3 linked regions of the Mytilus edulis genome follow. Each later gene encodes a partner of the first gene's protein in a complex. Links are inferred from orthologs where the notes say so. Each region holds a gene or a part of one and is shown on either strand. Other genes may lie near its edges. The genes, in order: medium-chain specific acyl-CoA dehydrogenase, mitochondrial-like; electron transfer flavoprotein subunit beta-like; electron transfer flavoprotein subunit alpha, mitochondrial-like.

What was found.
Region 2: the proteins of medium-chain specific acyl-CoA dehydrogenase, mitochondrial-like (region 1) and electron transfer flavoprotein subunit beta-like are in contact, whole or in part, in a crystal structure (PDB 2A1T), measured with the Homo sapiens proteins. The link is inferred for Mytilus edulis from reciprocal best matches to the Homo sapiens genes ACADM and ETFB. Residues at the interface, in NP_000007.1 of Homo sapiens: Glu43, Gln44, Lys46, Glu47, Phe48, Thr51, Lys54, Phe55, Glu58, Glu59, Arg80, Glu83, Leu84, Gly85, Leu86, Leu98, Leu100, Ile108; in NP_001976.1 of Homo sapiens: Glu73, Arg76, Thr77, Tyr192, Ala193, Thr194, Leu195, Pro196, Ile198, Met199, Lys202.
Region 3: the proteins of medium-chain specific acyl-CoA dehydrogenase, mitochondrial-like (region 1) and electron transfer flavoprotein subunit alpha, mitochondrial-like are in contact, whole or in part, in a crystal structure (PDB 2A1T), measured with the Homo sapiens proteins. The link is inferred for Mytilus edulis from reciprocal best matches to the Homo sapiens genes ACADM and ETFA. Residues at the interface, in NP_000007.1 of Homo sapiens: Pro163, Lys173, Pro211, Gln232, Arg235, Glu237, Val251, Glu253; in NP_000117.1 of Homo sapiens: Arg223, Lys226, Arg249, Asp253, Ala283, Ile284, Gln285, Glu304.

The regions. Positions count from the first base shown.
Region 1 is NC_092345.1:9,939,979-9,947,063, forward strand, and holds the start of medium-chain specific acyl-CoA dehydrogenase, mitochondrial-like, read right to left. Parts: upstream 3,112-7,085; 5' UTR 3,001-3,111; coding exon 2,980-3,000; intron 2,232-2,979; coding exon 2,111-2,231; intron 94-2,110; coding exon 1-93. UniProt on the Homo sapiens protein: Medium-chain specific acyl-CoA dehydrogenase is one of the acyl-CoA dehydrogenases that catalyze the first step of mitochondrial fatty acid beta-oxidation, an aerobic process breaking down fatty acids into acetyl-CoA and allowing the production of energy from fats.
Region 2 is NC_092348.1:27,180,352-27,188,354, reverse strand, and holds the start of electron transfer flavoprotein subunit beta-like, read right to left. Parts: upstream 3,106-8,003; 5' UTR 3,006-3,105; coding exon 2,949-3,005; intron 1,061-2,948; coding exon 902-1,060; intron 1-901. Other genes in the region: phosphatidylglycerophosphatase and protein-tyrosine phosphatase 1-like, read left to right, coding at 6,167-6,316. UniProt on the Homo sapiens protein: Heterodimeric electron transfer flavoprotein that accepts electrons from several mitochondrial dehydrogenases, including acyl-CoA dehydrogenases, glutaryl-CoA and sarcosine dehydrogenase.
Region 3 is NC_092347.1:28,765,422-28,772,758, reverse strand, and holds the start of electron transfer flavoprotein subunit alpha, mitochondrial-like, read left to right. Parts: upstream 1-4,314; 5' UTR 4,315-4,372; coding exon 4,373-4,414; intron 4,415-7,337. Other genes in the region: non-lysosomal glucosylceramidase-like, read right to left, coding at 506-724, 1,539-1,654, 2,844-2,932, 4,055-4,314. UniProt on the Homo sapiens protein: Heterodimeric electron transfer flavoprotein that accepts electrons from several mitochondrial dehydrogenases, including acyl-CoA dehydrogenases, glutaryl-CoA and sarcosine dehydrogenase.

The sequences.
Region 1 (7,085 bases):
CTGTTTGATCATGATGTGCTGCGATTGGTATGATTTCTTCTCTGGCAAACTTTCTTGCAGTCTGTTGATATTCTTTCTGTTCATCTGATAACTCTGCAATAGAATGGTTTAAGCTAAAGATCAAATAATTCTATATATAAGATACTAAAAGTTAAAAGTAACTACAACTGTAAGGTCTCAATAACTCTGACCTCTGTAATAGTAAGGATAATGGTATCCCTACTCATTGTTGAAGAGTTAATAAGAGGTCAATATCTGATAAGATTATGCATTGTTGAAGAGTAAATCAGAGTCAATATCTGATTACTCTGAAATGAAGAGTTGGAATTAGGGTCAGATTATGCCTGTGCTTAATTGCTAGGGTCATACAACTTGAAAATGTAAATGAAGAGTTTGATCTAGGTGCAATTATACTGCTCATTTTGGGCACCTGATTGGCAAATAAAGAAAATAATGTTGTAGTTTTTGGTACATGTTTACTGTATGGTCAGACTCTGGAATGAAAAATAAGGGTGATCGTCACATTATTTTCTGATGATAGTTTTGATTAGGATTGGAAAATTCTAGGATGTGTAATCATGGTAAAGAATAGCAAAGAAGCATGTTCAATGAAAACTGTCACAAAGGATAAAAATAAATTAGGAAATGATAATACTGAAAAGCTCTTCTTCTAAAAAAAAAAAGGGAAGGTAAGAAAAAATATATGTCATGTCTTAAAACTTAAATATTCACATAACTCCTACAGTTAACTTAATAACAAAAATGTAAGGTTCATATATACAGGGGTTAAAAAATCCACTAGCCCAACGCCCGGGACTAGATCATTTATGCCTCGGGCAATTAAAATGTGTAACCCGATATGCCCGACAGACTAGTAACAAAAAAATCTTGACGTTTCCAAAAGTGGAAAATCCCTTCATTACTATTCTATGTTAGCCAATCCGATTCAATTAATAATTATAAGTCATCAGGGATTCCAAGAATTTGAACTGGTTTGTACAGGTCCTGTTGTACATATTTTAAAAACAGAACAAATAACTCTGGGTGGCCCAGTATCATGTGTTGATTACAATTCTCGTACTTTAAATATCGATTTCTCATACCATGGCCTGGGGTATTGTTCATTGCTTATGCCGAGATTTTCAATTAACGGTATTTGGGGATATGATGTATTGATCGGTACTGACCTGTCTTGTTGCAAAGCTCTTGAGCACGAAACCATGCAACAAATTATTTCTTAATATTTTAGTACGGGAACCCCAGGAACTTTGTCAGTTTCAAAATGAAAAACGGTAGATGAAGGGAGTAGCGAGGCTGAAAATTCATCCCCCAAAAATGCTAAATACGATAGGGAAAAGCCGCGGAGTGTCCAGGACAGCAGGGCTGCCAAGTCGCACACACCCTATGAACTTCATCAGTTTCAAAACAAAAAATGGTAGATGGAGGGGGTAACGAGACTGAAAATTCATCCCCCAAAAATGCAAAATACGACCGGGAAAAGTGGGGAAAAAATTATAGTGTCCAAGACAGCAAACCTGCCAAGTCTTTAGGGCGAGACTCACCCATTTTCATGCTTATTTGGCGGCATTTTCCTTGTTTTTTCTCTTTGATCTTTATAATTTGGCCAAAAAATCACGCATTTACTTCCTGAGAATTTGGCAGAACTGGGATACAACAATTCCCCTCGAAGGTTGGCTGTTGCTGATGAAAAAAACAGATGATGCTCTGTGAATATTACCGTTAGTTACCCAAATCATGCCAATAAAAAGTTTGCTTTGAATGTGGGAACGACTAAGTTAGTTTAAGCACCAACAATAAATAGCAATTCAACCAAAAATATTAAATACAGTCAAGTGTATAATGTCTCCTTCAAAACAAAAGACACCCACTTTGTATTATGCAGCAAACTCTTGATTTTTAAGGCATACTAGGGCTAGCAGGTCAGTTTTGATGGACTAGCAGTTCTTCCAACAGGGCTAGTAAAAACCTGCTGCCATAAGTCCTGGGCTAGTTAGCTGTAACAAATTTTTTTAACCCCTGTATATAACTACATTGTACTATGTTTTTGTTTCAATATTTTGATAGAAATAATTCAGCACTAATATATTACCAAAAGAGAAACCTCCGGAGCCCTGAGCTGATGTGGAATTCACTGAGTCTGGAACTGTTCCAAAAGCTCTGGCTGCTTTACATAAACTTTGCTTTCCTTGTCGAATCAATCCACTAGACACCTAAAAAAAATCATACAAAGTATATCTCTGCAGTGTTTTTCTACAGAAGACAAAAAGTGTCTGTGTCATTTCTTAACAAGCAGTTTTTGAAACTGTTTCCCTTTGAAATTGGTCATAACACAGACAAAACATGTAATAATGATTGATTAATTATCTAAATTACATAAGTTAACTTTGAAACATCTCAAAATCTATTGTAAACCATGAAAACTAAACGGGGTATAATTTTCATCAGACATAAGCAAAAGAAACAAATAATTTCAACAAATCTGCTTTATACATGCAAGGTTTTACATAATGCAATTCTTAAGGTTAAAATGTTTTAACTAAGATTCTATCTGAGAAAATAAAGGTGCTCTGTGGTATTTCTAGAGACCAGTTATGTCATGTCAAATATTTATATAATCAAAACTTGTAGTGTTATGTAAAAGTCAGGAGACCAATTTGAAAGTCAACATTAAACAGGTGCAAGCTTTGTGTTCTTATAATTCATATCGTCAAATGTATTTTAAAATTGTTCATCTGTAAGCATAGAACAACTCGAAGACAGACTGGAAATTATGCAACTCATCATGTTCATAATTTTTACATTTGTCAGTTCGTGGGTCATGTAACAATCCAATGTTTGTTGTGTTTAATATTATACTAAGAAAATGAGTAGGAACACAACCAGCATAGGTGCTATGTGTTCACATGTATCTTATGCTTTTCAAAACATTTAAGGAATATATAAACAATGATAAGTTACCTTCGACAACGACATTGCCATTTTTTCAAAACTATAAACTGTAGTCACATGACTTACACCAGAGATACAACGAATAACATAAGTACATAATCAACATTCAAGGACAGCAACGTCCTATTGAGCGTTAGCTGAATACCGAGTAATTTCAGCAAGTACAATTCTAGGCACCCGTATGGTCTTAAATATTATGGCTCATAGAAAATTAAGGCCATTTTTTCTTCTGGGAATAACAATTTTAACATTACCGAATATTTTAAAATATTCCTAGATCTTCGAAATACTGGAGTAAAAATCAACTACCCAGTGCTGCTGGTTAGGGATATTTATAATTTTATTTAAGGCTTTCAATGATGCACGCATAATAATTTGTAATTTCTGTTTTTTATAAGTATCATAAAAATTTATACATTTTTTATTCAGAAATAACTCACATTTATCAAATATTCAAACCAAATGGCATTTTAAAAAAGAGGTACATGAACTCTTTTCCAAGTTAAATCAGTTTGAATGATAAAAAAACAGTCGAAAACTGAATCTTTTCCCGATAAGTCATAGTTTGACGTCGCAAAAATAACAATTTATGTTAGTAATGTCATGACCTCCTCTGTAACTGTATCGTATGCCCTTAATAATGCACCTGCAATCATACACAACGCTTTACACAACTTTGAATTCTCCGAGTTTCTTAAATATATATATAAAAGGACAAACTTTCAATTTTTGTTTTGAGCGAGAAGATTGACCAATCAAAAACAAGCATCTCAAGAAATATTTTTCCTCAAAATGGGTCCTAAATGAACGTGACGGTCATTTGGGCGTAACGCAATTTATTGAATGACGTCATTGTTTGGCATATGACGTCACAAACGTCGAGTTTTCATATTTTTTGGCACACGAAATGCAACTATAAAAAAGAATTCATTGACATGCCATACAAAACACACAAACAAAATACAAGTAACAATTTTTTTTAAACATCAGCACGCAAATTGTAAGGTAACCCAGGTGCTTCGACAAGACAAAAGTAGAACTGAAGTTAACCAAGGCGCAAATGATCAAAAAGCAGTTCATATATATATATGTCTCCTGTTGAAATATATGATAAAGCGTATAAAACATTGCAAAATCCGTATCACATGCCGTATCACCCTCGGGCTGATATTGGTATCTCGGGATGATACGGCATATGATACGGATTTTGCAATGTATTATTCTCTATGTTTCAGCATTGCATGCGTTTTATAGACGAAACGCCATCTAATAAGTCATTGAGATGACCTCTAAAAACTGCCGAGGTTCATATAACCTGATACAGTCGATACAATCATAAATATAAACACAAATAGATAGGGAGCACGTGCAATCTGACTTTTCAACTGAGATCTGTTTGATTTCATGTTATAGTAAAAATATTCATATAGGGCCTCCCTTGTCATTCTTTTCTTTTTTATGAATGGTCTTGATGAATATATAATATAAACAATCTCCCTAAAGGTTAAATTAAAGGTTACATGATCAATACAGATTGGCCTGATTCAAAGAAGCTGAATTATTGACTTGCAAGTCAATAATACTACAGTGATTGACTTTTTTAGTTTAGCTTTGACGATATTAAACCAAACATACTGCTTAAAGATTTTTTCTCGATTTCCTGTTCTATAAAGTCCTATAAATGTTTGAAATATCTTTTTAAGAAGTCGAAGCTAAAATCCCTTTAACTGTGTTGCAAGTGCTATAGATCCGCTTTTGATTAAGGCTTTTTGAGACAAACCGTCAAATGAGTACTTGAAGAAGTTGAGTCTGAATATAGCTACACTTATAAGTGTTAAAATATACATCAGATCATATACCATATGACACAAGTTGATCAATTTAATTGTCAATTGTGATAATTGCATCGAAATACATTTTTTTCAATTAATTTCCTTAAAATAGATTTCCGTTAGCGTGATCTAATTTGATTTCATAATACAATTATACGGATGTACTTATTTGAACACTTAGATCATATCCTTGAATATGATGCAATGAAGTCATCCGTTACAACACCCTTTTATATCGGCTACATGCACTTTTATTAGATACAATAAATAACAAAAATCAAATTTGTGCAGTATACGATTGCAACATCCATTGTATATAATAGCAATCAGAATGGCACACAAAACTCTGTTTTATACGATAGGAAAAAAAACAATTGTTTTGAACAGAAATCTAAAACCCAGATTCTATTGAATTTCCCGTAGTGATAGTCGATTATAGGGTTCGAAAAACATGTTACAGAAGATAAATGATGTCCGTCACCGCCAGTTATTATAAACCGATGCAGATGATACTTGTTTTCAAATGGTACAAAATTGACAGTTAAGTTAAACGCTGAATTTTGATTTAATTTTTTTTTATTAATTGTGATCTGTCCACATCTATATAGATATAGGAAGATGTGGTGTGAGTGCCAATGAGACAACTCTCCATACAAATAACAATTTAAAAAGTAAACCATTATAGGTTAAATGCTTTCTTCATTCGGCTATTCATATATTTGAAGAATAAAAGACGTAAAATATTTGAAGGAATGATTTCATATTCACCAATCGGGAAGCTGAAATTATATCTTTGTCTTAAACTTTTGTTCTCAACCGAACCTCTTTGTCAATTTGAAGATGTACAAGTCAAGATATGAGTCAGACATAACTGTATCTGTAACATGTTGGATAGCTGTAGATGCGTCCAAGATAGTCTCCAAACTTTTAATTATTTAGCGAAAGAACATCCTCTGTGCAGCGGAGAGTGAAGTTAAAGTGTTATGCTAACTTCTTTTCATTATTCATAAGAAGCTGCTGTATGAAGTATGCCACATACGAAAAGGGGGGGGTTGTGGTGGGGTGGGGGTAAAATTCCAAATTTCTGAATTCTTATCTGGGGCTTTGCCTGACTAATAAGTGTTCAAATAGATTATTTGTAACTTCATATTGTGTACACATGCCGTGATACAAGTTGATTGATTCACTTGATTATAGAAGTGATTTGTGTATAGAAATAGATTTTTTATTCAAATCAAGTAATTTCCTCTTTTATTATCTAATTTTGTATTATGAGCATGCAGAAATGATACAGATGACATAATGGTACTTTTTTTAGCACTTACATGTATATATTTATTATAGATCAAACGATGTCTGCTCTTTACAAATCATCATAGACCATAATTGTATATAATACTTGTTTTCAAGTGGTACATGAGAGTAGTTGAAGGTTATTTTATAATTTCGAACAGAAAGTAAAATGATATGTATATTGTTGCATGACAAAAACACCCGTATGTTAGTAGATACAAAGGTGATTATAATAATATCCCTAGACAAAACAAACAAATAACAAAACTATGACCAAAGACAAGATGTACAAAAGTTTATATCACCTAGTAAATATATAGCTTTGGCTATACGACGATCGTCATTGTATTGCATACAGCTTATCTCAACTTAACATCCCGATTTTTAACATGCTTTTATATTTTAGTTCTAGTCCGTCCTACATCTGTTGTTTTTATTATTTTACATTGTACCATAGCTTAATTAATCCTCACGAATTACTGTAGGTATATATCTGATTTCCATGTTTTATTAAAAAGATGTCATGTTTTTTTCTCTTTCATTGTAAGTAATTTTTAAATAGCAGTACTTTCTTTTATAGGCGCTTTGTTAACTCACTTTATCCAGTATTTTAGGTTCATGTATTAAACACCCGAGCTGATAATAAAAGTACAGTGACTATCATTGATTAATTTGTTGTTTAACTTCTTACAATGTCAGCCAATTCCTACAAAATAGAACACAACATATTAAATTTATTATTTAGAAAGTTAATTACAAATGTCAGTTTGTTTATCATGTTTATAGAGTAATTCTGGTAGGATAAAGAGCGTTTCAAGAAAATCTTGAGCTATGAAAAGATTGCTCGAAAGATTTTGTTCTCGTATAAAAGGTAAGTATTTTCCTCAAATAGTAACTATGGTTACACGGTAAACAGGAAAAAAGTGAACAATTTGGAAACCACTTTGCGGTTCGCCTATTGTGTCGACTATTATGTTTTTTGTTTGGGCG
Region 2 (8,003 bases), on another chromosome or scaffold:
CATTTTAATTCTTTTAAACAAATTCTGACTTGGATAAAAGTGAAGTGTTATTCTTTATTTATTTGTAAGGTAGATATTTCCTTCATAGATCACATGGCTCAATAAATTCCTATGAGTGTATTCCATCAACTAATTTTACATGAATCATCATTGAAATATATATTAAGATCATAATGGATCATGAAAATCTAGGACAACTGACCTCAACACTAAGAGACGCTTTCAGTTTTACACCTATAGTCATGCATATTTTAAATTCTGTAGCAAAATGTTACCATTTTGTACACTGAAAACATTTTGAACATTATAAGGAAATCTGTGATTGGTTGATTTTTGTTTGCTTTACAACAAGTGGTAAGGACAATATATGTACAATTAATGATTCTTATGATACATTACAAAATACAAACTTAGAAATTTGTTCGATACATTTTGTGTCAGAAGAGTAACACATTCTATAAAGATAAAATAATGAATTGTTAGCTTAAAAATCAGGGGAATTAACATAAACACATGGCAACTATGTTATCCTACATAAACATGATAAAAATTCAGATGTACAGATCTGTTAATTAAAACTATCATCATTCCTTGCAAGTTTACTGTCTCTAACATTTAGTTTGCTAAACATGCTAAGTATTAGACCGTTGGTTTTCCTGTTTGAATGGTTTGACACTAGTAATTTTGGGGCCCTTTATAGCTTTTTGTTTGGTGTGAGCCAAGACTCTGTGTTGAAGGCCGTACATTGACCTATAATGGTTTACTTTTATAAATTGTTATTTGGATGGAGAGTTGTCTCATTGGCACTTACACCACATCTTCCAATATCTAAGTAGTAATTTTATATTTATGCCTGATAATCATATTTGACCTAACTCATTTAACTCATATGTAAACAGACCTGACATTGCTTTGGTCCACATGACACAGCTATCACTTCTGATGCTATTTTCTTTTCTTTAAGTCTAACAGCTTCTTCTATAGCTATTTCATCAAATGGGTTCATACTATGTTTGACTCCATCAGTTACCACACCAGTTTTATCTGGCTTCACCCGAATCTATTCAAATAAAAAGAATGCATGACTGTTATCATTCATATGAAACATTGAATTACAAATTTTACCTTGCTTACATAACTTTTGCTCTTTACATATTTATATTCCAAAAAAGTATTCCTGCAAATCACTGTATAATTATGTTAGATTCATATAATAAACACCAATGTACTTAAAGTTGAAGTGGAATGTGTCAGTAACAGTGATTTTTATCCTGGTAAGGACCTCTTTCCTTTTGGTAAGAAGTACACCAGCATAAAAATTCAATGATGGATTTTCCATAGGGTATTATTTCCGTAATAAACATGCTGATGTGAAGTGTAGTAGATTAAATCAGAAATGATGTATTCCTCTATTTATCAATGAATAAATCTGTGTTACAAGACAATAATAAGCCTACTGACCGTAGAGAACTTACATGACTTAAATTCCTTTTGGAGTCACTCAATATCACTAACCATACAATATCGGTTTTAATGCTAATCAAACCTAATCTAAGTTGGTTGTCAAAACTTCGATTGAAACTTCCTTCAGTTTCATACACATGGTATTAAAAATGGTTCTCCATTTAATCCTAAGAAACCACAAAATATTGATCTTAATTCAATTATCAAGCAACAACATGAACAATGCTCTGGAACAGCAAGAGTGATGAAGAAAATGAACTCAACCTGTGCTTCTCAGAAACAGTCCTTCAAAATTTCAATGAATTTGAAAAAGGGATTTTCCATTTATTATCCAAAATTCACAAGTTTGAATTTAAACTCTGGAATTGTGAAAATGAAAAAGACAATCATGACAATAGCTTAACCTATCCTTCATGTCCTTAGAGATTTAATACATTACATTAAAATGACAATTTCAAAAAAGTGGTTCTCTATCATATGGAAGCTCCAAAAAGTGACTAATGGTCACAAACCTATATGAGGATTCCTATGTAACCTCTACTCTGTCAGCTGCGATATATATCATGAAATAAAAACAAAGGAGGAGATAACTCTTTCAATTAATACTCTGTCCAAACAACTGAAGAGAAAATAGTTTGACCTCGGAAAAAATTGTCATAGAAAGCTGATTGAAGTTAATAAGAAATCAATATCAATAACAATTGTAAAGAAATTGGCTATGAATACGAATACAATTCAAATCTTTCATTAATTGAAAGTGAAATGATTTGATTTTGGCACTCATCTCTGATTAGACTTGAAATAAGGTAGCCATATGGCAAGCATCCTGTGCTATTCTAACATTTGTATTTTGATGCCTTTAAAGATTTTGTTGGATTAACTTCATTAACATGATTAAAGATTAGTACAGGCTGTTTTAGAGTTGCAGCATAATGATAATGCAGGATTTTGCATCACTTATATGTATCCTGCTAGGGCCCTCCAGGAACTCTAGAATCATCTGCCAGGAACCTAAATATGCAAAGTTGACACTTACACAAAGAGATCCTGTTCCATTTCCCATGTTTAGTGTATGTGCTTCACTTTAGGCCATGGGCATAGCTGGGGGACTATTGTACTTATTCTATTATTATTCTTAGTATAAATTATTATAGTCCCAGGACAAAAACTATAGGCTATAGCTACAATTTTCATGCCACTGAATACAGAGACTTTTGTGTGACATGTCATTTCATTACTTTATCGTTTATACATTTACATATTAGCCCATTTGTGAAATTAATATGGTCTTTTATGTAATTGATGATACTTAAGTCATTTGTAAGTGTAAGCTCTAAATAAAAAAGTGGTAAAGGTTAAACTTTAACAAAAAAATAACATGTTTAACCAAACGCTTGTTACATATTTTTTAACATATTTTGTAAAAAGTTGTCCTGACTATTTAGACTGCTATGAATATTTCCTATAGGGTGACAATATCTTACTTTAACAGCATAATCTATAACTCTTTTGCAACCAACTAACACTCTCAGTGCTGACATTTTGACCTTTGAACCGGGAGAATTTATTGGAGCCCTAATAACGACAACTTTAATTTTTATTGTAATGGATAAATCGTCAATAAAATTACACTGTTAAAAATAAAGTTATTAGAATTTCAATTAAACTTTACCACACCAAGCAAACTAAAGTTAAAAAAAAAAAGAATAAAGGTTATAAAAACATTTGAATAATAAGTTATCCTTTGTATAACTTTTGTGGTTTTCAAAGACAGAAGAGTTTGGCAAAGAATCATGTGAAATGTGAAAATGTAAATGTTGATATAAAAAAGACCTGCTACTAAGTGTCAATGTTTAGGAACAAACAGTTTTCGAATTAAATGAAAAAAGAAACCTTTTTTCAGTAACATGTATACCGGAATATGATTTTTTAAACTCAATGACAATGTTGTATACGACAACTCGTACTCAACCAACTCGTACCCTATTTTTATCAACTCGTACCTATGCTTTATTTGATATTATTTATAGATAAACGGACAGAAAGTCACAGGACAAAAAGTCACAGGACATAAAGTCACAAATTTGATAGGACAAAAAGTCACAAATAATTTGTTGACAATTATTTGAATATATATATAAGAGAAATATTTTGAAATATTTACTTTTATAAATACATATATTCATATAAATAAAATGATATATAAATTATATATCATTTTATTCTGGTATCACCTAAGTTGGACAAAGGTATACAGAAAAACACATTAGTTTACATTACATTGCATATATGTAGTATTGTACATTTGTTGAGGAAGCATTAAATATGAGTTTTTTACAACAGTATGATCAGTATAGCCGACAGGTTAACATCAGAGAGAATCCAGTTTGTCATTTATAATTCTAATAAATTGGCACAATTTTCGAAGTTTAGATTTCTGTTTTTGGTTCATAATAGCATTAAATTTTAAAACATTAAAGTTTGTTAGTCATTTCTTGTCAATAAGTAGTGTTCTATCTGTTAAGAGACTGCTGCATTCCATTACATAGTGGTATTCGTCACCTATAGCAACTCTGCACAACGGACACTTTCTCTGTTCTCGGGGAATGTTTTGCCATCTACCATTTTCAATCGGCAGTTTATGGTTCATTGTCCTAAACCGCGACATTGTTATTACATCTTTATCATCAAGTACGTTAAGGTAGTGTTCGAAATTGTGTGATGTCTTGCATAGGCGATAATTCAGGGCTTTCGGCGAATCGTTTACCTTTCCTGACCATGACTGTGTAAACTGATCTTCTAGTCTTTGTTTAATTATCGATTTAATGTTAGGTGATGTGTTTTGGAATGACCATAAGTAAGAGAATCCACAATTGTCTAGAATACTTTTCATCTTGTCTAACGATGGCGATCGAAATGTTGTTTCTTGTGCTAACATGAAAAGGTATCTAAACATTGCAACATTATTAAAGTTTAGGAAATGTGTCATTATACTTGAAAAATCAAGATTTATTTAATTCTAATCAGGCAAAAGATATATTTCTTGGCACCATGAAGCCATTTAAGTGCCAAACCACTTTGACATTTTGTTTTTTTTAGCAATTATTTGATCATCTTTGATATATTTTTGATAAATTTTGTTAACAAAGTTGGTTTATATACAATAGCTCAAGAAAAGTAGAAATAAGTGGTTTTTATTCAAAGAAAATAATTAGAAAAAATGAATTGTGACTTTTTGTCCTGTGACTTTCTGTCCTACATTCTTATATTTAAAACTATTATGATTGCATCTTACAAACAATGAAAGTTTTTTTTTCATTTATATGTTGCTATATAATGATATACGAAAGAAAGTGACAACAACTATGCATATAAATAGAATGTAGGACAGATAAAAAAAAAAAAAAATCTTGGCTAGTAATTTATGTCAAAAATATTACATCATCATTTCCCAATCTCAAAAGAAACCCTGTGTGTGATATTTTGCTTTAATCATAATAACTCTTTAATGCAGAGCTGAGTATGTTATGATGTAGTTCTGATGAATTGGATGAATTGTCCTTTAGAATATAAATCTCTCAATTACTCTGTAAATCTGTTTTCTTAAGGGTATATTTTTTGTTTGAATTACCTCTGGTACTATGTGGTAATGTTTGATATTTCATGGGATAAACAAAGTACTTTGAAAAATGCTACTGCATACAAAATTCAACAATAAAATATTATTTTTATAAAAATTTATTTTTTGTAAGACAGACATCAGTTATATCAAATTATTTCTGAATCATGTCCCAATTTCATTAATTTAAATTCCCAAGAGAAATTGCTATGGCTGCTGTCTTGTGAGAACTCAACTGTAACAGTATTAAAAGAGTTGTGTATATTCCTGGTTAAACACTGCAAATAGCAGATTAATATTACATGTTTCGCAAAATTAGCTATTGTTGAGGGGGGATAGGACCTTTATCGGGACTCCGGGATCAGGTGTTTTTAAGCTCGGGATTTCGGGATTGACCCTTTGGGATTCGGGAATTCTTTTTTTATTTTATTTCCGGATTTACTTTATTTAAATTTGGGACCTCTGGATTTCGTGTTTTTAAGCCCGGGATTTTGGGATCAGGACCCCTCCTACATTTTTTCCTATCCCCCCTCATTGTTGTTATTTAAAATAATATTTGTTAATTGACAGGATTCAGTTTCTCTATTTATTTTGTTCATCTGCTTCTGACACGGGAAGGATTGCTGTTATTGCCTATCTCAATCAACAGTATATCCTTGAGCACCGTCCCTTGGTGTCTCTTGCAGATGAACAAATTTCCATCTTTATAGATAATAATTTAAGTCTGTTCAAACTTTATTATTAATATTTTTTTATTTGTGCACTGCTGGACAATTAAATAATAATGGTTAAAAGGATGGAAGGAAGGAAAAAAAAGTACTTTTAATGTATTTTTGTTATTAATGCTATTTTCATTTGTTTCTTATAATATCTGTCACGTTATATACTGTACAATGTCTCATGTTTGTTGCTTATACTATCATAATTGCTAATTGTAAATGCCCCTTGTGGGACCCTTATTGGAAAAATAAAATATTTGATTTGATTTTTATTTTTTAAATATTTTCCATTTCATGCATATGTCATTTGTTTTATATTTCTAGGTGTTGGTGCAGCTTGAAAATAGAAGAATAAAGATTGATTATGTCAGGAAGCTTATTTGGGAAGATTGCCTTCTATCCAACGTTGTATTATAACAAACTTATGACAAAGATAACAAACAGACAATGGTACAACAGAATTGATGAAACAGTGGTATTGGGTGCTCTCCCCTTGAAGGAAAATAGTAAAAAGGTATAACCATCGTTAGTGCTTTCCCCTTAATAGAAATTATAAAAAACAGCCATATTGATTTCTCCCCCTTTGAGGATTTAAAAAAAATGTTGCACATCTAATGCAAATTTTGCTGTTAAGCAAAAATATATATAAAATAAACCCACCCCAAAACCAAAATTTCAAAATACAGCTTCTTAATACTATGATACATTGGAAAACACACAATCTGTGAACACCCATGGGAACATTCTAAATAGGCATCATTTGAACTGCAATGATTTTTCTTTTAAAGGGTGATGATGCAGATACACTTGATATACTTTTAACTTGATAACAAATTTTACCATGTTTATGTCTGCTTTTTTTCTGGCAAGTGCAGAAAGTACAAGATGTGAGACATCCAGCAACAGTCACTGCATAAACCATTTGTGTTAAGCTTTATATTTTAGACCGTTGAACTAGAAGACCTAGATGCTTAATATTTTTTATGCAGATACCTCTGTTAACTAGTTTATATCTGTCATTTGTCCACTGTCCTTGACCTCATTTTCATAGTTCAGTAACTGCTTGAAATAAAATGATTTTTTCAAACTACATTTTGTATATATGGGTAATTTCAACGTCTATAGGTTTATCAGGTTCAGTACACCCGACTTTTACCTTTTTTCAGTGGATGTGTAACCAAGGTTAAAGGTAGGTGAAGTCCTTATCCCAAATACTGTTGGCAAAAGGTCAAATTTATTTGATGTATGGAATTTTGTTAGGGGTATATGTCTGACTCTGACTGACAGATTTCATCTGACCTTGACCTCAATTATATGGTTCACTACGGTAAACAATATTAAGTATTTGTGTTTGGTCTATATCTCAAATGCTATAAGCTATAGGTCAAGACTCAACTCTATTTGATTATGGACATTGGACTGAACAAAATTATTGATTACGAAAGGACTAAATTAGAAAAAGATAATAAACAACAAATGAAATTTGTGAATTGATTGATAGTAAAGAGTATATGCATGTCCAACTGACAGATTTCATCTGACCTTGACCTCAATTTCATGGTTCATTGAACAATGTTTAGTTTTCATGGTTTTGTCTATTTCTAAGATACTATAAGCAATAGGTCAACTCTACATGTATGTTGTCAAGGACATTGGACTGTACAAAATTATTAACTACAAAGACTACAATGAAAAATGATAATAAAGGAACATGTCACATAAAAAAAGAAGATGTGGTATGATTGCAAATGAGACAACTTTCCAAAGAGACCGAAATGACACACAGATTAACAGCTATAGGTCACTGTACGGCTTTCAACAATGAACAAAGCCCATACTGCATAGTCAGCTGTAAAAGGCCCCGAAATGACAATGTAAAACATGCAAACGAGAAAACTAAAGGCCCTATTTATGTACAAAAAAAGAATGAAAAACAAAAAGGTAAAACATAAACAAATGACAACCACTAAATTACAGGCTCCTGACTTGGGACAGGCACATACATAAATACAAACATGTTAGCGGGATCCCAACCCTCCTCTAACCTGGGACAGTGGTATAACATGTACAGTACAACATAAGAATGAGCTATAAAAATCAGTTGAAAAGGCTTAACTCATTAGATGGACAAAAATACAAGTAACGTGGCCGACAACAACAACAAAATACACTAGGTACAAATCTGAGAGTACTCAAAGTTA
Region 3 (7,337 bases), on another chromosome or scaffold:
TTGGCATGAGTAAAGTTTCGTCATGTCGAGCACTATAGAAAAAATTCCCATGATGTTTATTGCATATAAAAAAAATAACCATCACTGGAAGTTAACCAATCAAATTTTCAACCTTTTTCTTCCTGTGTACAAGCTTAAGAAACCAGGAAACCTCAAGTTTCCAAAATATTCTATAGAAAAAATCAATTAAAAAACATAATGGTACTTTGAAACACCCAAGATATAAGTCTATGACACAGATTTGTTTACTGCAATAAATGTAGGATAAATTTCCTACAACTGTCAAATTCAAGGGAATACTTTTTCAATCCTTTTATCGTATGCAACCAGATGTGATGTACTATGATTTTGTGGTATTACACCTTATTTATGTAACCTGGCCCTATATTGAGTAATTGTTGCTTGCTAATTTAATCCTCTCATCATGCGCATAATAACAAATGATACAGAAAATATATACAATTTTGCCTATTACATCAGTTAGGGAAATGTGTTTACAACCTACCTTGTAATCATTAGGGAAGATGGGTGATATTTGACGACAGGTAAGTTTAAGATTAAACTCAGGTATATCATATACAGTCCATGATCGGGGATAAAGTGCATGATATGTAGCATTCTGTCTGGGAAATCCCCATTCCCAGGATTTTAAGTGCTTCCCTTTTCCTCCTGTTAAGACTTTTTGGTAAACAGTTTTATTGTTCTTTCGTATACACAAGATGAACTACAAAACAAAGATAGAAACATGAAACAAACTATAATATAAAAATAAGATGATGAGACAATGAGACAATTATCTACAAAGGACATAGATGTAAACACCATTAGACAACTATACAGCCATCAACAATGAGCAAAATCAATACCCTATGCTTTAAAACTAAAAAAAGGCTAAAGGATAGAAAAAGTTATCCATTTATACACTTTGCTTTCACAAAAAAAATAACCAGTGTCTGTCTGATGTGGTTGGTATCTACAAATCTTCCTTATGCTAGAACTCACTATAGTTACTTAACCAGGAAATTAAAGTTGCCCCATTCTTTGCATCTTATATTTTCGATAGTTTCTTTCTCCTGTATCTTGTACAAATGCATGGTGAAAATACTACTTGATAAAAAATTCAACCATGATCATATAAGCATAAAACTGACTTCTCATCAACAATTTATCATAGATTGACATTGTCATGTATTTTATGGTGAAATTATAATTTTTCCATGTGCTCCACAGTAAAATACCTTTCCAACAATATTGATGCCACATTTCAGAAAATTCTTATTTATAGTTCCTGAACACTAAATTTCATACATGGTCAGAATTTGTAACAATATATTATAGGTATTCAGTTAACAAAAAGTTCAAAATCTGAATTTAAGGAAGTTTTGATATGTAAATGTAATACCGTAGAAAAATGTGGCAGAACTTTTATGGAATGAACAGATGGACAAACAGATGGCATACACCAGAATAGCATTATACCACTCTCATTAGGTTTGACAATGGTAGGTCATGAAGATTGCAGTTATTATTGTACTTACAGAATTTGCTGGTACAATAGTATGTTCATATATCCCTGGCACCATCTGAAATCTACAAAATTCACCTCGGTAACCACGACCAATGGTCCCACACCCTATACCACCTATTGGACAGCCTGTAAAATATGTAACAGTTTATCTTAAGAATTCTTCTTACAATACAAGATTAAAGGAACTTCTATTTCTTGACACCACAATCCATACCACTAATAAGACAACCACTAAACATATTATGAAATATCTACAAAATTATTAAAAAAATCCTCAACCATGCACTTGTAATAAATATACATAAATGATATAGTTACTGTAAATTCAGAAATTATTGCCGGCATTTACTATTGTGATTTTGTCATTTTAGACTTAAATGTGATTTCAATTTTTAGGATATTGAGAAAAAAATTATATAAAATATTTCAAAATGCTAGTTTAAATTATTGCGTTTACAACTTTGTTGCATTTTTCGCAATAATAAAAACCTCACAATAATTTCTGAATTGACAGTAAACCAACACAACTTTCCCAGGCAGAAACAGTCAATTGGCCCACAACTTACATTGCCATACAGAAATCATGCAAAATAAACAAGATTAAACCATTCCACAATCTATATCCCTTATAAGACCACCTGCAAAATATGTACAAGTATATTTAAAGAATTCTCACTAGAAAAAAGTCCTACAAATATTGTATTATTTCATCATATCTAACATGTCGAACTCATTCTAAGTTACGGGACCTGAATTTAGTATGTATCAGTTTTACCCATTTAATATGACCTGTGACCTTTATTTCAGGTTTATTGTTAAAACCTGACCTGTCAAATTTTCTCTGACAAGCTATCTTTTTGGGGTTTTTTTTTTTTATCATTTGTTTACTGTCTCATTGACAGATATTTAACATGTTATTGAAACGTCACAAAAAAGTTACCATGTTTGTCGACATAAAAGCAGATCATCAAGAAAAATTTTGAGCAATACAATGCGTCTCCAATTCTAGATATTAAAATTGATTGACGAGTCTCAAAATAGGAAAAAAATCCTGTCAGAATTTTTTGGTATATAAATCACCCTTCAAAACTATTGTCAATACTATGGTGGTCAGTTTTTATTAGTTTTGAAGCCCAGGTCTCTGAGCAGAACCACTGAGGCAAGTTTCAGTAGGAAACCTGATACCACATTGTGGACAGACTAGTGAAACAGTAGATAAACTCCTTAGACGACTCAGATACCAAGACTTGATGCAGTGGTCCACTCAATTTGGGGATTCAGTTAAACACAAACTATGTCTTCTGTTAATTCTTACCATAAATAGGCTTGTGAGTAACTTGATTGAGATGATCTATAAACATTATTCTTCCCTGTCTTTTGTGCTTTATCCATACTTTCATATATCTGTAACAACCAACAGTACAAAGTTTTAGACTTTCCGACATTCAATAACATTTTTCTGATAAATAGATTAATTGTTGTTTGCAGTGGAAAATATTTCATGATGTTACGATTTTGTCTTGCATCATGCCACCAACAGACACATAAGAATTCTTTTAACCTTTGACATTTACCGTAAGCATTTTAGAACTAAACTTATGGAAAATACACTATCCAAGTTCAGGGGCGGATCCAGTCCTTTTAAAAAGGGGGGGTTCCTAACCCAGGACAAAGGGGGGGTTCCAATTACATGTCCCGATTCAAATGCATTGATCGTCCAAAAAAAAGGGGGGGTTCCAACCCCCAGAACCCCCCCTCTGAATCCGCGCCTGAAGTTCAACATTCAATGAATAGAGCATTTGCATCAAGGCTCATATAAAGGCCATATTGGAATCATATTAAAGAAATTGCTTGAAAATTTCCTGGTGTATTTCTGTTAAACGGTATCTCTCTATATAAGTCATCTGACTTGCCAAGTGTAAAAAAATACAAAATTATTGTAGGAAAGGTTTTGTAGAAACACAATTTTGTGATAAAAAGGAACATTTTCTGGCAAAAGTAATGTCATCCACATACATGTATGTTAGAAACAGACCAGATGCTGTAATAATATAGAAAAAGAAATTATGTGATATGTGCCTTGGAATATAGATGGCTGCAACGTAAACAAATAACAAATTTCAGAAGTTTTTTCATCCAATTCAAATCCCTGACACAAATTTCTTTCTTAATCTTGTTCATTCAAATAAAATGTTATCATATACAAGCAAAGATTCCATGATTTCCAGTTATAGGAAATGTTGTGCATCCTGGACTAATCAGTCTATTTTTGCAACATGTGCAATGAGGCAAAAGAACGGTACAATTTAGCCAACAAATTTTTAAAGAAACAAACATAAATCTTTCTTGATTTGTCTAGAAGGAGCATGCAATTTTGATGCATGTGCAACAGCACCTTTCCACAAAGTACCTTGCCAGTCTTTATGCATGTTTAAAAACTTGAAACACCCTAGTAAATTCGTACCTATAACCATGTTTAATATGTGGCATAATGTACAATGTCTGGTCACAATGTAAAACGTTTACCTATAGCTAAGACCAATTAATTCAGGAATGTGGGTGAGTCTGGGTTTTACAAATGGATCACATTTGTCCTTGCATTCATGTTCGAAGTTTACTCTCCAACCAAATTTGGGGACATTGGCAATGTCCTCTTTTGGTGTAGTTATGCTAGCTTCGGGGGAATGGTCTATATGTTGAGGTTTTGGCATCTTGCACTTGAAGCCTTGAAGCAAGCAGGGAAGCAAGTCAGTCTTGACCAATACGAATGTCGTTTCTGCCCGCATTTGTTTTAATATTTCAACAGTCCGATTACTTCCGGGGTAAAAATATTGTTGCATAAAAATGTTTTCGAGGTGCTGCAGAACAAAATTAGCTAATCAGACGGTAAACTAACGATAATACTTTTTTTGCATATCATTTTAAAGAGTTATCTTTATTATTTGTGTATATATGTTTTTATAAAGATTGATAATGCGTCACTTTGCAACTTTGACCTTTGATTTTTGTAAAATTATCAGATTATATAAATGAAATATTCCATTTAACCAGTCAATGTCCCACAAGGACAGTTTACAAACAACAGTTTTCATTTAATTTTTACATAACATAAACTTAGAAATAAAAAAATATATACATGTATGCATATACAGCAAGAACAGCATGTACAGTGTTGGTGTTAGTATCATGATTATAAGGATTATGTACGCTTGGGTATCGGGATCGTTCGCTCTGATTACATGTTTGCCCTAGGTTCGTTCGCACTGAGTTTGTTCGCCCTGGGTTCTTTCGCCCTATTTTCATTTATGATATATATGTACAATGGATACGTTACATTAATGATGAAATAAAATATATATATTAAAATTTGGGTTACACTAAAGACCTGAAAGTGGACCTGAAAAGACCTGAAAAGACCTGAAAATATACGACTAAAATTATTCAAATTGCAATAACTTTTTTATTATTGGATGGAATTTCTTCAAGTTGGAATTTTATTAATTGTAAATATTCAGATTTCATTCAAATTAAAAAAAATTAAATAAAAAACAATTTTTTGATGCCAAAAGTTGGACCTGAACGGAGAAATGAAAAGACCTGAAGGGACCTGAAAATCTATGTCGGACTAATTCTAACTACAATAACTTTTTTAATATTCAATGGATATCTTTCAACTTTTGTTTTTGTGACACAAAAAGTTCAATATAATGATAAAATTAAAAAAAAAATATGAAAAATACCATTTGGGTGTGAAAACTCGGAACTGAACGGAAAATTAAGGAACATAAATTTGCTTGAAAAGACTGCGGTCAGATTTATTCAATATCTTTAACTGTTTTCAATCATTCTCCTTGAAATATGAATTTTGTTATAGGAAAGGTATAATATATCAATGAAATTATAAAGAATTTTATCGAAAATATAATTATTTAGTTACAAAATTCGGACCTTGTCGGTGAAATAAAAGACATGAATGGATTATAGGGGTAGTTGTATTTAAACTCGCAAAACATTGTTTTCCTATTTGTTTCTATTTTAGACAAAAGTCTATTGAAGAGAACGAATGACTTTATATTTATACAGGAACATATTTGAAAACAAAGTACATTGTTATTGATGAATCCTGAACCTAAGGGGAAAAAAGAGGAAGATTGTACGTTGAAATTATTCAAACTAATACAACTTGTTTAAACTACATTAATATATATTTTATTCTTATTCTATATTAAAGCTGGTCGTAAACTGCTTTATTTATAAAATGAAAGTATTAGTATTGCTTCCCCATAAACCATATGTCATTTAAAGAGTTCGTCGATTGGAATGTTTTAATTACACGAACGTGTGCCGGTTGTAATTCACACCTTGTTTTGATATTAGGTGATAATTGGATCATTAGTCTAAATAAACATTTCACTTTAATCTTCTAATTGGATTATCACTTTATCTTGTTACACGAACTAAACATTGCTCGGTCACCAATTAAAGTATAGTATAGATCTGTACGAACACAATTTTTACCAAAGTACTATTGTCATTGGCCTAATAATATCAAACTATTAAATTTACTACAAGCTTCTAGTAAGTCTCTCACGATCAAATTATGTAATTATGTAAAAGCTGCATTGAATATTCGATCTTATATAGTCTCATAACTCAATTTATATGTCATTGTATTTTACTATTGTTCTCTGTTGTCTATTCATGTTTTATATTATGTAATATATGTTGTTAATTTTGCCATAGCCTGTCTATGCTTTGCAATAAAGATTCATTCATTCAAGTATAAACTTTACAAATTAAAAATATAAGCATATATCAAACTAATCAGTGAATTCAGATCAACGCTCTTACTTTTTATAAATTATAGTCAACTTTGAATCGTTTTTAGTCAGAATAAAAATATTCAACAAAGTGCGTACAAGTATAGTTTCCAACGTTATTATATATCAGCATGTCTCCTGCATTGCCATTACCTTTGCTAACTGAACACACCAGACTAACATCATACCGATCGAGACGCTATATATATCCAGGTTCATTCAGGACTTCATTTTTCATTCAACAGGTCCGACGTTTGTCACAAAGTGCAGGTTCCAGACTTGGGACACCACAAAAATTGTGACGGGGTTATTGTAGTTTAAAGACACCAAACCTTTTTCTCAATTATTTATTTCTATGGTATATCTCTTTGACTTATAAGTTTTGACATCCGAGTTTTGATTATTCCTTGGTATCTTCAATCTTTATCATGTTAGTATCTCCTGTCAATAAAAAATAGGGAGATGTGGTGTGATACCAATGAGACAGATCTCTACAAGAGACCAAATGACATCGAACATGAAAAGTTATCAATCATATTTTTCGTCTATGTTTATTATTTTCGTTTTAAAATAATGTGGAATTTTAGGCTCATTCAGATTTTGAATTTTTCGTTCAGGTCCGAATTTTGACACCCCAACAATATTTTTCACATATTTTTTTTCATATTATCATTATATTGAACTTTTTGTGTCATAAAATCAAAAGTTGAAAGATATCCATTGAATATTAAAAAAGTTATTGTAGTTAGAATTAGTCCGACATAGATTTTCAGGTCCCTTCAGGTCTTTTCATTTCTCCGTTCAGGTCCAACTTTTGGCATCAAAAAATTGTTTTTTATTTAATTTTTTTTTAATTTGAATGAAATCTGAATATTTACAATTAATAAAATTCCAACTTGAAGAAATTCCATCCAATAATAAAAAAGTTATTGCAATTTGAATAATTTTAGTCGTATATTTTCAGGTCTTTTCAGGTCTTTTCAGGTCTT